Bombyx mori: one gene and its partners. Each later gene encodes a partner of the first gene's protein in a complex. Links are inferred from orthologs where the notes say so. Each region holds a gene or a part of one and is shown on either strand. Other genes may lie near its edges.

Region 1 (3,770 bases):
TCTTGTGAGACCGCGCGGGTAGGTACCACCGCCCTGCTTATTTCTGCCGTGAAGCAGTAATGCGTTTCGGTTTGAAGGGTGAAGCAGCCGTTGTAATTATACTTGAGACCTTAGAACTTTATCTCAAGGTGGGTGGCGCATTTACGTTGTAGATGTCTATGGGCTCCAGTAACCACTTAACACCTGGTGGGCTGTGAGCTCATTCACCCATCGAAGCAATAAAAAAAAAAGATAATGAACTCATTTGATATCTATCTATAAAGTTACATATTTTTCTTGCACTTAAGTCTTTTTTTTTTAAGGCAGTAGTTCATTTAGAAACATCAAATAAGTTGATTGATACTTCAAATCATTCAGATTACTTATATCTATTGGGTACAATTTAGAACACATATATCATGGCGGTAGGTGGCATTCATGTTTTAATGTCTATGGGCTACCACCAGTATATAATGTAAAGTGATGATGTAGATCTATAAATCTACTATAAAAAAACTACCTTGTATATATTTTTTTTCATTGGTCAGTATTATTAGAGCATAGACAAAGTAACAAAAATACACATTAACCTTATTATAAATTTATTTCACTCTTCTGTGCATGATGTATCCACCGAACTTATCTTCTAGGGTTTTGTTTCCAGAATTCGTTTACCGAGCGTCAAACACAACCACTGAATTCTTACTTAAGGAAAATTTTTCAGAATATTACGAACAAAAATATGATGAATTTAAAATCAACACAAACTACAAAAAGGGTAATTTTCTGAAGATTTTAACAGATATGAGTCGTCTATTATCAAAGGTGGCAATCTGTACATTTGGACAATTTTTTTTTATTGATATGTCAATACAGATTTATTTGAATATAATCGTCTCCTTCAAAGAATACGGTTCAAAACCTGCATTAAATAAAGGTTAATAGTTAACCTGTTATTTATCTAAGATGTCGTTCCGAAGAGTTTTGTGACTGCCAATGGAATACAAAGTCAATAATTCGTTTTTCTGATTTACCAATCATTGTCCAAAAGTCAGATTGCCGCCTTTGATAATAGTCGACTCATTTATTACATTTATTTTCTTGCAAGCTCAATGTGATCTAAAGGATAAAACAGATGGTGTAGTTGTGTCAAGCTGTGCAACCATGCAAATGTGCAAATTGCATATACCAATATCCAAAGAAATATACTCTCGAAATGTGATCACGAATCACTTCCACAATGAAGGAATTAAATATGGGTGATACCTGTCAATACCTTTCTACTGATTAAAATCACTAGGCTGTATCCTAGTCCTATAATCTTTACTTTAAGAATATATTTATAGAATCAAAAGGATACGTCTTTTTGTTCTTTTCTTGTACATTATTCTGTAACCACATTCTCTGCACCTAATAGGATCTCTTGGTTTGATTTCATTCTCTTTGTGACATTCTGAAAATGATAATGAAAGCATCATTTGTTTTGCAGACCCATATTATAGTTTCAGGATTGCATTTATTAAAGAAACCAACATTTAAACAGTTGAAGTAGATGATCGGCAAAAACAATAATGTAGAAAAGGGCAAACAATATAATTTACTCTCAATTGAATCAATTTCATTTTTCTAATACTTTTAAGTTTAGGTTTTTTAAATTTTAATATTAATATTAACAAGTTTTATTAAAAGCACTTAAGCTTTTACGGCTTTTAGCTTTACTAAAGAACATTTATATTTATACAGATGCATTCCCCATTTGAAATATAGTAAAACAATAACACATTAAACAAAACGCCTTAATTTATACAATGTTATAAGACAGTGTGAATAATTTTATAATCTACTATACACAAAAGACAAATTAACTGATTTATTAATTCTTTGTTTAGTAGACATTGACAAGCTTAGTGTTATCGGTAAGAACATTTTAAAAGTAGTTTCTTTCTTTTTTCTATAAAAAATGTTCATAAATCAAGAGAAAAAGAAATACAAAAAAAATATTCAATTATTGGGGTATGCTGATACCTAACAATTATTAGGTTATTTTGTGTTAGTGTTTTACAAAGTGATAGAAGTTTTGTTATTATTTGGTTACACTGTACCTCCACAAACATATATCATTGGCACTTTAGTAACTGATTGCTCTTTCCCAGTTGTGTCAGCCATTATGTGCTAAAATAGAGAAAAATTAAATAATAATAAAAAATGTGTTTTATTTTAAATCACCAATTTGATTTAAGCTTTATATTAAGTGTATAATCTATGCTTTGGATTGTTATTTTGTGTGTAGAATCTATGGTTTTTGGATTTGTTTAATTAAGCCGCAAAGGGAACTTAAACCATAAAACGTTTTGTTCAAAAGAGGGCTTGTCTTGTTGAAGAAAAAAATACGTAAAAAAAGGAGTGGAAATTTAAAAGAAAAAATCATCGGGACATTGGAGGGGAACCGAGGATTATTTTTAATTATTTGTTCGTCGTTTGATCGTCAATGTTTGAATGTAAAATTATCTGTTCGTCTTTTATTTATTTATAATTAATTAAACAAATGATCACCCTTCAGTTGGCCCCTCTTACTAGATATCTTTGTTTTTATTGCTCAGATTAATTAATTTTGATCAATTATTGTTTGTTCGACGACTATTGGTGATTGTTCGATCATAAAAACAAGTAAATTCGAAATTATTAATTATTTTATATCTAATAAGCAAATTATCACCTCACGCCTACATTGCGCATGCGCCGGTTTTGTCAGTCAGATGGCAATGGCCGACGGCCGTATTTACTACCTTTTTGTTACGCGCGAACATTAACGAACAAACGACGAACAAATAATTAAAAATTAAAAAAATCGAAAATTAAAAAAGGGGACCAAATTCAGTGAGCCGTAAAGCAAATAAATGGCATATTTTTTTACATTTTATTTATGGATTGAGTTAGCTAATCTGTGCATTAAGCTCCCAAACATAGAAAAACAGACTTTTTGGCGGGAACGCGAGGAGTGATATTGTGTGATTTGTTATATTTTGTCTATTTAGTGTTTCTTCGGGTTTAAATGTGTAATAATGGTGGTTTATTAGCAGTTTAATATCTGTGAAAGTGCACAAATGTGGGAAAATGGAACAAAGCCGCTGGACGTAACTTCTCGGGATCCTCCAAAAAGTCCACTGAAAAATCTTAGTAAATGACCACCATTTTACTGAGATTATATTTCATCCCATATTTTCTCATTTCATTTCGTTTTCATTTCATTTCATGCCATGTTTCACAATAATCAACTTCATTTCATTTAATAATATCATTTTTCATATAAAAAAGTTATCATTAAAATTAAAATAAGACTTGACCTAAAGGTCTTAGTTACCAGGTCATAAAATCCCTTAAAAAAACAAACATAGTAAACAAAGAAATAAATATTTTTTCATTTTTTTCCCTACCTGCACCTGCCTATTCGCTTAATACTCGGCAAACTTCTTGAGCATTAGTTGACGTAGTGGGGGTAAGTTCGCGCATCGTACAATTACGTACAAAAATGTTAAGTTATTAAAAACAACATAATATGTATTTATTTATATATTTATTAGTACATGAACAAAAAATACAGGTTAATAATTGTAGTAATTTAATCTAGGGGTAAAATAGATATTCCTTCCATTAGGTCAAAACTAGGAGCTGGTGCCAGGTCTTGGATCAGCTGAAGCTGAGCTGGTATTTTTAATTGTTTTTTCGCTATCATAATCATGACCATCATCATCATCATCACTACTTTCTTCATCCGTGTCGCAATCATCGTC
Region 2 (4,030 bases), on another chromosome or scaffold:
AAACCGTTGTGCCAGACTTTGTCGAACGCTTTTGCGACGTCGAAGAAGAGGGCTCCCGTGTAGATCGGTTTTGGTCGGTTAAGTCCCACGAGAATGTGCTCCGTGAGGCGGTGCACCTGTTGTACGCATGAGTGATTCGCACGGAATCCGAATTGTTCATCGATGAGAATGCCCTTTGATGAGACGAAGTCTCTGAGGCGTTTGTAGAGCAGACGCTCATACAGTTTGCCCAGAGACATGAGGAGGCTAATCGGGCGGTAACTCGTCGGATTATTTTTTGGTTTACCGGGTTTGTGTATGCCGATAACGTTCGCTTCTTTCCACACCGCGGGAAAGATACAGTTAGCCATAGCGGCATTGAAGATAGATGCCAACATCACGATGAGTTGGATGGGTAGAAGTTTAATAACGCGGTTAGATATACCGTCGGAACCGGGAGCTTTGCGAGGACGTAGGTCTTTGATCAAGTCTTTAACTTCGGGGTGACGGGTGGTAACGCATCCAAGGGTGGCAAGGAGGCTCTGCGTTCTACCTCACTGTACTAATTCTACATGAACAGGGTCCACGGATTGAGTGCTGGGCGTGCACTGGGTTTGCAATGTATCGGCCAGCAGCTCTGCTTTTTCGTCATCATCGAACGCCGCGAGTCGGCCTGAGGGGCCTACGAGGGGGGGCATAGCTACTACCGTATCCGATTTGAGAGTACGAGTATTCTATCCTAAGCCTACATAATGATTGCAGAATTGCTTTATTTCCATCAAAGGATAAACTTATTCACTCCCTGTCTTCTATAATTTGCGAATATGTTATGATTTGACCTTGAAATAAAACAATAATATTATGTTGATATTTTCCAATGTCTACATTCTTGGAAAAAATTATAGGAATCCGAAACATAGTTTATTTTTTCCTGATATCGTTTTCAGTGGTCCTACTCAATATATCAATGAATAGCATATCTAATTTTTTTTTTAAATTGGTTCCATATTCCTTTGTTTTTTTTTATAATTATAAGCTAAGCTGTAAATGAAAAACTGACCAATGTTGACTGCTTCATCATTAAGTGTGGTTTGATCTCAGATTTTAATTCTTTTTGTGATAGGAAAGAAGCTGCAAAAAGTGGCAGTAAACAGTACTTTTTGCCACATACAATTAAGTAGCTGAGGTTAAATTTGGATAATATGAAAATAGTATGGAGTCTACCAGGAAAAAGATACACTTAGTGCCACATTATTGAAAAAAGGTGTTTGGAAGGGGGTTAGTTGTAGTATAGAGACATATCTCCATGGGATCACATTCATATATCAATGTACCATTGACAATCAGTCACCCAACAGCAGTGCCACATTTAACTCAAATTTCAAGAGATTGTTAAAAAGCATTACAGAATGATTATTTATTTTTTATCTCCCAAATTTGTAGGGGAAGGCAGCATTCACTTCTTTAATTCAACAACTTCAACAGCTTCAAGGGTTGGTTACTGTCATTTTGCACAAAAAAATCCATATCTTATGAAAAGGAAAATCAGCACTACAATCTCTTTTGACATTTGAGTTAAATATGGCACTGCTGTTGGGTAACCGATTAGAATGTTATTTTTTTCCCTATCTATTCCCTGCTAGTTTGGGATATTCCAGCTACGCTCAGACAGCTAAGTGAACTCAGGGGCTCAAATCCAGACAATTTGGTAGCATTGGCCCTAGGAAGAGCTGTGCTTCACAGAATCTATCACCAGATGGGAGTCGCGACCTACTGAGAAGATGCGGTGAGAAATTCAGCAGGCTGTGTCTATGGCTTACTTTGGCTAACTCTTCGTCATAATCAACAAGTTCGATGAGGAGGATGATGGATGCTTGCGAGGCCTAAAACCACTGGATACATACATGTCTGTTTTTAATTTAGATTTTGTGAAGGTTGACATTCTTCACATACCACAGTGCTCTAATTCTCGCAACTCTTCTACACATCCATATAATTTTGTAGGACCATGTTTAGCCATGTTTGAGTCAAACTATAGATGTTATCAACATTTACTTTAAGACCTTTTACTGTGTATTGTGATAACAAGTACATACTTGGCATATGTTTGCGAGACCCAGGATGTGACAACTGCCTGTGGGACTGGCTGCTCAACGAACAGCAAGCGGATTACGAAGTGACGTGCTAGCTCTGGTAATTCGCTGGAATTTAGTATTATACAATAGTTTTATTCAATTAAAACATGATTACTAGTATTATCTTTTAGCTAGTCATAGACAAATTAATTAAATAGTTGAACAGTAAATCACTCTGTACCTCTTATTGTATATTCATTGGTGAATGATAACAACTGATTTTTTTGTGCTTTTGAGCGTATGACATATATACACGAGAGTCATTAGTAGTTATTATGTATGAAATAGCTCAGTTTTAGGAATATTTGGATGCGTTCCGTGCATTACCTCTAGCAGTCTTACTGCCTTACAGGTAAGGTTATGAATAGCGACTTACCGATATACAGCGAGACATATAGTGGGGTAATTGTAAAGAGTCTCTAGAAACTGCGGAGACCGCGACTTAAGATATTCGTGAAGGTCTTTGCATTGTAGTGTAGGCGAAGGATTCAAATTTAAAGACTTCGATTTAGAAGACTCTGACATCGTTCTCGCTGTCTGCTGTCTACCTAATAATTAGTTCTTAAATCTCTTTAATTCATAAGTTTCAGATTATAATAACAAAGTAATCCAAATTCAAAACAACCCAAAACAAATTGAAATTTGACAACCACATTTCATGACTTCGTGACAGTTGACAGATTACTTTCCTCTAAGATCTGATTGCCATATTGAAAAAGTAAAATAACCATAGGGCTTACCATTTAGTTCGAATTACAGAAACTCGCACCACATGAGCTTACGGATCGTAGTGGTTACTGGTTACGGACAGTATATACATCACGACGTATCTCGAGACATGAAGTCAAAATATCAATAATGTTGCTTAATATTTTTGTTTAGTCATAAAACCGATAACACCTTTTCCACCATATTTTTCAACTCTTTGGTACAGATTTGGTATTTAGATTTGGCATTTGAATTACAGATCGCCTACTTCAAAGATATATATTTAAACTACGAATGCGTATATTTTTTTGTGATCGAAGCCTTGATATGATTTTAAAATGATACCTCGGCCCTTCCTCCTCCTCAAGTCGTTCTCCTCATTGAAAGGAGGGTCGTGACTCCCCCGCTGCATCAATCTCTCTTATACGATTGTTCTCCATTTGCTACGATCCTTGACCTCGTGAAGGGCGTCGTGGAGCTAGGCCTAGGCACTTATTAGTTCTGAAATGTTTTGTCAGATCAATAATGAGCGCCCTAATATAATTAAATTATACCTCGTGTTTTGATACAATGTAAAAACCGTAATTTTTGTGATTGCATAGTCATCGAGAAGTGCAGAAAGTACGGTCGATAGAGGACAATAATACAAACCAAATAGTGTTTCGAAAGTCATTCTATTACCTCCACCACCTCAGTTAAAAAGACCCGGCTGAATGCGCGCACGCACTGTCCTGGTGAAACTGAACGGGCCACCAGTAAAACTTTCTTCCTAACAAAAAGTAAAAAAGTGCGTTGTTAATGATATTATTTTTTATTGTTGTAATCGTAGGCATGCGAATATACGGCCACCAGATGGTAAGTAATCACCGTCGCTCATAGATATCAGCAGTCAGCAATGCCTGAGCCCAAGCAGTTGCTAAGTGTTAAGAATTGTCTTCAGATCTCGTTTGAATAAGGATACGTCAAAGCGCCGGGGAAACATCGTAAAAATGTTAGAGAAAAAGTTAGATATATATATCGAAATATTTATTACCTTTACCTATTAAATCAGTAGATTATTCATGCGTATGGATTTAAAGTTGTTTATTGATGTATTTTTTTTAATATGATCCGATAATTATATAAAACTCACAGATACTACCAGTGTCCGTTTGGATAGATTAGCAGCCAGTCCAATTGATTACCATGTTCATAAATAATAGGCTTGG
Region 3 (3,691 bases), on another chromosome or scaffold:
GTGCACTCTGTTTTGAAATTTACCATACTTTTTTAAAGCAGCCTAACTGATTTTTTTTACATTAGAAACATGATGACTCTCCTTCTGTAAAAATAGCTTTCATATGAGTTTGTGTGTAGTTATTTTTCCTTTTAAGTCTTAATATTAAGAGTGCAATTTAATTCGTTATTAAAATAAAACCCCCTAAACGTTATCTATAATATTATTATATTAGAAATAATTACATTTTAAAGTATCATGCCCTTGCAGTCCTTGCCCATTGTTGAGATGTAGAAATTTAAAAAAAAACCAAATTAATTGTTTGCTTCTAATAAGGACTATTTGTTTGATATTTAAATTATCTTTGATCTTACATACTCTGTAATAAATATTTTTTTCATTTTTAAAGAGGAAATTTAACTCATTTTTATTAAATTTAAAAGTTGTTTATTTATGCATTATATTTTTTGTTTAAACAAATGAAATTAAGGACATTTTCAATATTATAAAAAAAACATGGGTCATGTGTCACATTTATTGTAATTTTAATAGTGGCATTTAAATTAAAGAGCATCAACTTAAGAGATAACAAAATTATTCACAAACTTCTTTTGTATTGTACATTATTAATACCCAATAAGTCAAGATATGTATCTCGATATTAGAAGCACAAAGTCAAATAAATATCTTTCATTTAGATTTTTTTTTGTGTTTTTTTTTGTAATTATATTAGTAAGTAGTAGTCTCAGTAGTGTACAAAAAACACACTAATGGGAAGTGAGACTGAAGGAGCTTGGTAGAGTTTTTTACTATTGGTAATACTAGTGTCTTAGAAAACTTCAAATCTACCTACTAAAGATTGTTTTTTTTTTTTCATAATTTGTTTAACAATCTTATCGTAATCTTGTTACACAGATATCTGCCATACAGACATCAAATTACATGTCGAAATAACGAAATAATAATTATGAGACCTTAAGCCCTAATTCCGAGATATAACAAATAATTTTCTATAAAATACACACTGTCTATAATCACCATTCCGCATCACCATTAGCCTTTTGGAATACATAATCCTTTCCAGCTAGATTCATGATTCCATCTTTGAGATAGAACTTCCACCTATTGCGACTGCGTGTAATTTTATCATATTGGCAAACAACTACATTATCAGTATCAAACATGTCCCCTGGCTCCTCATCAGATACATCATCACCGGAATTTAGGGGTTCTTCTTCAGCACCACCACTTTCATTTTGTTCTTCTTCTTCTTCTTCTGCCCGCTCTTCGGGAGAATCGTCATCATCATCATCATCTGCTGCACCGTCTTCTGAACCATCACCTACGTTTGAGCCATCATCATCAGAAGAGTCCAAAGCACCATCTAAAGAGAAAGGAGCAGTTCCACTGCGGCCGCCTCCGCCGCTATCAAAATCACTTTTTTGTCCTGCTAAAGCCGAGTTGATATGTTGTTGCAGTAAAGTAGCAGCTAGAGGTTGTGGAAGGCTAATGGTAGCATTTATTATAGGACCTGTTAAGACCTGATGCAGTTTGTTGCCGTTCAGAGCTGATGCTGGAATTTGAATGGTAAATGAACGAGGCTGGGACCCTGGAACTCCAGGTTGAGCAGGTAATGTAAGCTGAACTGGCACTTTATTATTAGGGTCTAGAATATGATGAGTATGCGTTCCAGCTACACTAGATGCTGGTGCACTATGTTCTTGTTGCCCCGAAGTATGTCCCATGTCAGTTCTTTTATGCACTACATTACTACCATTTACTTTTTGGAAATTCTGTAACACTGGAGGAGGTGGCAGCATCGGCTCAGGTTGTAACGGGTCCGTGGCTCCACTGGCTTGAAGCTTTGTCTTCCATAGTTGTTTTAGTTCTTGTAACACTTGTTCGTCTACACCGTCATCTAAGAAAGAATTTCTCACTCCGGATATCACGTCGTCTACCACTATGTTGTAAAGTTTCAATACTGCGAGCTGACTCGTTGTCATTTTGCAATCGAGCTGTAGTTGAAAATTGTTTAACAGTGTAAAATGTTCACAGAACTAGATATTCTTGTTTCTAAATCTGTTTAGTTTAGTTTAGAGCCGATTATTTGTCTTCTGAGTTCACATCGCAACATTTCAATGTCAAATTTCTGGAATTCACACAGTTTGTTAATTCACTAATGTTGATGACCAATTTTATATATTTAAGATAATATGTGGCTAAAGTAGCTTATTTTAACTTTTATGACGTCCATTTACATAAAGAGAGACAAATTTATAAATTCACCATAAAAATTTTGACAATTGATCACTCAAACATAACCTACAAACCGAGGAAATATTTCGTAGCCTTTAAAGAAATAATTGTCTATGGTTCGTTGATTCCGACATTGAACGACGACAAAGATGGCGCATGCGTTATGAGTACGAGAAATAGCACCGCCCCGCACCGCGCCCCGGTTGATTACGTATTGGTGAGTTTGCGCCTTGGGTAGTTGCCTTTAAATTGATTTTACGGTTTGAAAGGAAAGAGCCACCACTTTAAAATTTCAAAACAAAATTGGCATATCTAAAATTTATTGTTATAACATTGAATGATGAAATTTAAAAATATAGAATTTTCACAAAAAACGGTATTCATTCAAAAAAATTCGTTACAAGCCAATTTTAATGAAATTCATTTCTACTTAAACCATTGTTAAATAATATTGACTAAATAATATTTATATTTTATTTATATTAAACTATTGCACTGTTGAGTACAAGCAACGCAACACTCAATTTTATCTTGTACTATGAAAACTTAAAGACTTCATTCTTAATAAAACCGCATAATAGGACGTTTATGAAACAAGAGTAACTATAAACTTAATTGTTATTTTAGATAGATTTTTCAGTTTTTCAGTGGTTGTAAAAAATGTTGATTAAAATTGGTGGCATAGACAATAATTGAATTTTAGTATTTTTGTGGCGGGAAATCCAAATGTTGGAAAGAACTTTTCGTCTTTGTCGAAGCTTTTCATTTTTTTTGTAACGAATGACGTTGAAGTTTTTATATTTAAAATAGGGGCTTAAACTTATATAGTTGAAAAGGTAGTGTATAATAATATGCTTTCGTTATTAATTTGACATCAATCATCATCAATTCATTTGACTCAATACATTTCTTTCTGTGACAGATTTTTAAAGCACGACAATTGGTAAGAAGGTATTCTAATGGAACATTCTTATATATTCTGACTTCAATATAATATTAAAAATTTATAAATATCAAAATATGAGGGTTACAGTACTCATTTACCTCAATTTTCTTTTAGTAAATATTGTAACGAACAAAATCGATACCAATGCCGAATGAAACACGGTTTTTTCAGTTTATCAAATCAAACTTCTCTTGATAACACAATACAGCACATTTACCGTAAATTAATTAAAGGTAAATTAAAAGCACAGCTAGTTATTTCGGGGAAATAACGTCATCTGTCAGTGATTGGTGTGTATCTGTATAGTCCGCGGTCGACGCGGTCTAGTGGGGACCGTGTTGGTTTGTTCGTCGGCTAGCTATTTGCAGCAGATCGATACGTTCCAGAATATCATTACTCGCTCACCTGAAGTCTAAATTAACGTAGGATCAAACTAAAATTTGTTTACTATTCACTATGTGTTCGCTATTAATGTAGAATTTTGGTTTTATGGCAGTTCAAAAACCATCT
Region 4 (2,953 bases), on another chromosome or scaffold:
TTGCCAATACTACGATTATTTTTCTTCATTGTATGGTTACGCTAGCTCACAGCCCACTTGATGTTGTTGTGGTCTATAGGATACGATGCCGGTTTACAAGTATCAAGCGATTGTGCTGGTGTTAGTATCAAGGGATAAGGCCTTAGGAGGCAGGTAAAAATTTTCCTTAATAAATATGTATGTATTACAGAATCCAGTGACTTCTACTATGGAAGATTAGCAGTGTGTACTTTTGTTATACAGGCATATTATGCTTACTGTAGGAAACTAATATGGCCGAGCTTGTTCTACATAGAATTATTTCTGAGTAGTGTATTATAAGTTTATCAAAAATTGTCAAATGTAAATCTTCTACACTAAGATCCAAATAAACTTGTTGCATAAAACTCTTCAATATTGCTATGGTTTTAGAAACATGGAAATAAAACCTTTTGAAAAAGAAACTTTCATTGAACTTATTATTTAAAAATAGAAATGTATTTCTCAGCATAAAAAAAACATTTGGACAAATGTTTATAATTTCAATTATTCAGATTTGATTCTATTACATGTAATTTTTAAAACATGGTTTTTAAGATTAATCAGTATAGAATTTACAGTTTAAAAGTTATCATTCCAAGAAATGGAATTAAAATTACGCACCAGTTACATGGTGATTAATTTTAATCCTTATTAAATTTACCTAATTTAAAACAATCAGTAAAACTGATTTTTGCATAAAGTGATTCTGATACAATGATTCTATTGCCGAGTTTTCCTTTGACAACCTTAAAACTAGTATAAAGCAGCCTTTAGGAGTTTTCAGTTTCCTTGTATCTGAAAATAAATAATACTTTACGATATTATCTTGTACGATGTGTTCTTTTTTAAATTAGGAAATAATTTTATTTTTGAGATAGTAGTTGCTTACAAGATCATTATTATGTCCAGTTTTATATTACCAAGGAAATTTGGCCACAAGTTGCAATTATTTTCCTGTCTTAGGCTAGTGGTAGGGTCCAATTTTATTTAATACAAGTACAGATATTGATGACTTGCTCATCGAAATACAAATAAATATTGTAATTTACATACTTGCACTTTATACATGTGTAGAAAACTGTTTGTCCTTCATCGGCCGATCGTAACTGTAGAGTTGCATATGACATTCTGTCGTAACCGCATTTAGCGCATTTTCTCTCCACAACTGGACCCTCAGGACCATCAGTATGTAGTATATTCTCATTTGTGATCACAGATATAGTATTGAAATGTATTGTGTATTGAAATTTCATTTTACTATAATCTGTAAAAAAAGAATTTCTGAATAAAACATTTTTTTAAGTTTTTATTTTATATTTCGAAAACAAATACAACAGGTTCTTTCTGGATTTCATAAGTATCACTAAAGTTTTTTTATTTATTATAAATTTAATAGTGAATATTCGAAAATTATACAAAAGCATAACGCTGAAAAATCGTATCCCGTTTATATGAAAGTAATTTTTTCATTGGCAACTATATACTTACTATCAGCCTCATAATGTGCTTTACAAGTGTAGCATTTCACGGAGCCAAACTCTTGTAGCAAGGGTAATATGGACCCACAGCGAGCACAAAACGCTGTACTAGTTGATAACGGGCTTTCAGTGGACATTATTTCTAAAAGTAAACACAATTATCACTAAAAGGGTTGTGTATTTTTGTTTAGAATATTAGGTTATTTTAAATCTTTATCTATTAGTACTAAACATAACCAAAATATATTTTTAAACCAATATGAAGCATACTATATATTTTTGTGAAGGGTTTTAGACAGTTTTAGTGTATACATACCCTAAGTATTTGCTATACAAAAACCTATTTTTTTTTTACTATAATGATAAATTCATTACTTACGTACAATTTTTTTTAACTGTTTGACAATTGACAAAGGAAACATAGCCCATACTGATAGTATTAGATCACTTGTAACTAAAATTTGAAAAGATGAAGTTCAGTAACTGTTTCTTTTTCTTACCTAAGCTCATAGCCTTGAGAGGCTATGTTAGCGTCACCTAACAAGTAGGTGAGCTCACGGGACTCAAACCTGATGACGTTGCTAACGCTAACCCTAGCAAGAGCAGTGCTTCTCTGAATCTACCAGCGGATCGGAATCGCGACCTACTGAGAAGATCCGGCCAGAAACTCAGTGGGTTGTGTCTGTGGGTTAATTTACTCGCCGAGCCCTTTGTCGCAAGCGACGGTTTCGACGAGAACGATGACTGGTGATTTGAAGTGCTTAAAAGCACCGTTAGTGGATCGGGAGGATACGAAATGACGTGCTGTAATTAAAATAATGAAGATTGCACTTCTACGTTTTAGTTTTGGTGGACTTTTTGTCTCTCTACCACAGTCTGTGACAATGCCTACAGAACTACAGAACGCTCCCAGTAGCTGTAGATATAACCACTACAGTCTACTACAGCTCATTTTTAGCTCTTGCTCTTTACACTATTACTAACTCCACTCTATAAACGAAATTATAAACGCAATTCTTCAATAGTGGATCTCTAAAATCAGTCATCTTCATTGTTTCTCATATATAGATTAGTAGGTATTTAGGAAATATGTTGACAACTGTCGTCGTTGCGGATTAAACTCAAACTGCAGTATAGGAAGCATTTATTTATTCCACACGCACCTTAAAATCGTATACATTAACAATCAATTGATTTTTATCTTTGAACCTTTTAAAAACGTAAAACACATTTTTTTATATCATGACATTTTTCCCTCAAACTGACAGCCTGTCTTTTGAAGTGAAAACTTCTTTAGAATCGTTGTGATTTCAAACCGGATGCAACGGATAAAACGACAGGTAAGAGACACAAATACAAAAATGTGTAGGATGAAGCCAGCAAAGAATGAGACAGAAATATACATACTATTTAATACAGCGCCATCTGTGAGATTTTTTAATACTAACGCGTGT

The links. The genes of interacting proteins can lie anywhere in the genome.
Region 2: DNA-directed RNA polymerases I, II, and III subunit RPABC4 (region 1) and general transcription factor IIH subunit 4 share a complex: the UniProt entries of both Homo sapiens proteins name them as parts of the TBP-based Pol II pre-initiation complex. The link is inferred for Bombyx mori from reciprocal best matches to the Homo sapiens genes POLR2K and GTF2H4.
Region 3: DNA-directed RNA polymerases I, II, and III subunit RPABC4 (region 1) and transcription initiation factor IIA subunit 1 share a complex: the UniProt entries of both Homo sapiens proteins name them as parts of the TBP-based Pol II pre-initiation complex. The link is inferred for Bombyx mori from reciprocal best matches to the Homo sapiens genes POLR2K and GTF2A1.
Region 4: DNA-directed RNA polymerases I, II, and III subunit RPABC4 (region 1) and Znrd1 share a complex: the UniProt entries of both Homo sapiens proteins name them as parts of the pol I pre-initiation complex. The link is inferred for Bombyx mori from reciprocal best matches to the Homo sapiens genes POLR2K and POLR1H.

The regions. Positions count from the first base shown.
Region 1 is NC_085111.1:12,249,201-12,252,970, reverse strand, and holds DNA-directed RNA polymerases I, II, and III subunit RPABC4, read right to left. Parts: upstream 2,339-3,770; 5' UTR 2,146-2,338; coding exon 2,082-2,145; intron 1,433-2,081; coding exon 1,340-1,432; intron 674-1,339; coding exon 651-673; 3' UTR 501-650; downstream 1-500. Other genes in the region: uncharacterized protein LOC119628526, read right to left, coding at 3,642-3,770. UniProt on the Homo sapiens protein: DNA-dependent RNA polymerase catalyzes the transcription of DNA into RNA using the four ribonucleoside triphosphates as substrates.
Region 2 is NC_085125.1:220,016-224,045, forward strand, and holds the start of general transcription factor IIH subunit 4, read right to left. Parts: upstream 2,801-4,030; 5' UTR 2,640-2,800; coding exon 2,491-2,639; intron 2,181-2,490; coding exon 2,076-2,180; intron 1-2,075. UniProt on the Homo sapiens protein: Component of the general transcription and DNA repair factor IIH (TFIIH) core complex, which is involved in general and transcription-coupled nucleotide excision repair (NER) of damaged DNA and, when complexed to CAK, in RNA transcription by RNA polymerase II.
Region 3 is NC_085117.1:13,411,164-13,414,854, reverse strand, and holds transcription initiation factor IIA subunit 1, read right to left. Parts: upstream 2,505-3,691; 5' UTR 1,983-2,504; coding exon 1,014-1,982; 3' UTR 501-1,013; downstream 1-500. UniProt on the Homo sapiens protein: TFIIA is a component of the transcription machinery of RNA polymerase II and plays an important role in transcriptional activation. TFIIA in a complex with TBP mediates transcriptional activity.
Region 4 is NC_085112.1:11,752,489-11,755,441, reverse strand, and holds Znrd1 (transcription-associated zinc ribbon protein), read right to left. Parts: upstream 1,643-2,953; 5' UTR 1,642-1,642; coding exon of another isoform or gene 1,637-1,641; coding exon 1,510-1,636; intron 1,286-1,509; coding exon 1,075-1,285; intron 817-1,074; coding exon 792-816; 3' UTR 501-791; downstream 1-500. UniProt on the Homo sapiens protein: Core component of RNA polymerase I (Pol I), a DNA-dependent RNA polymerase which synthesizes ribosomal RNA precursors using the four ribonucleoside triphosphates as substrates. Can mediate Pol I proofreading of the nascent RNA transcript.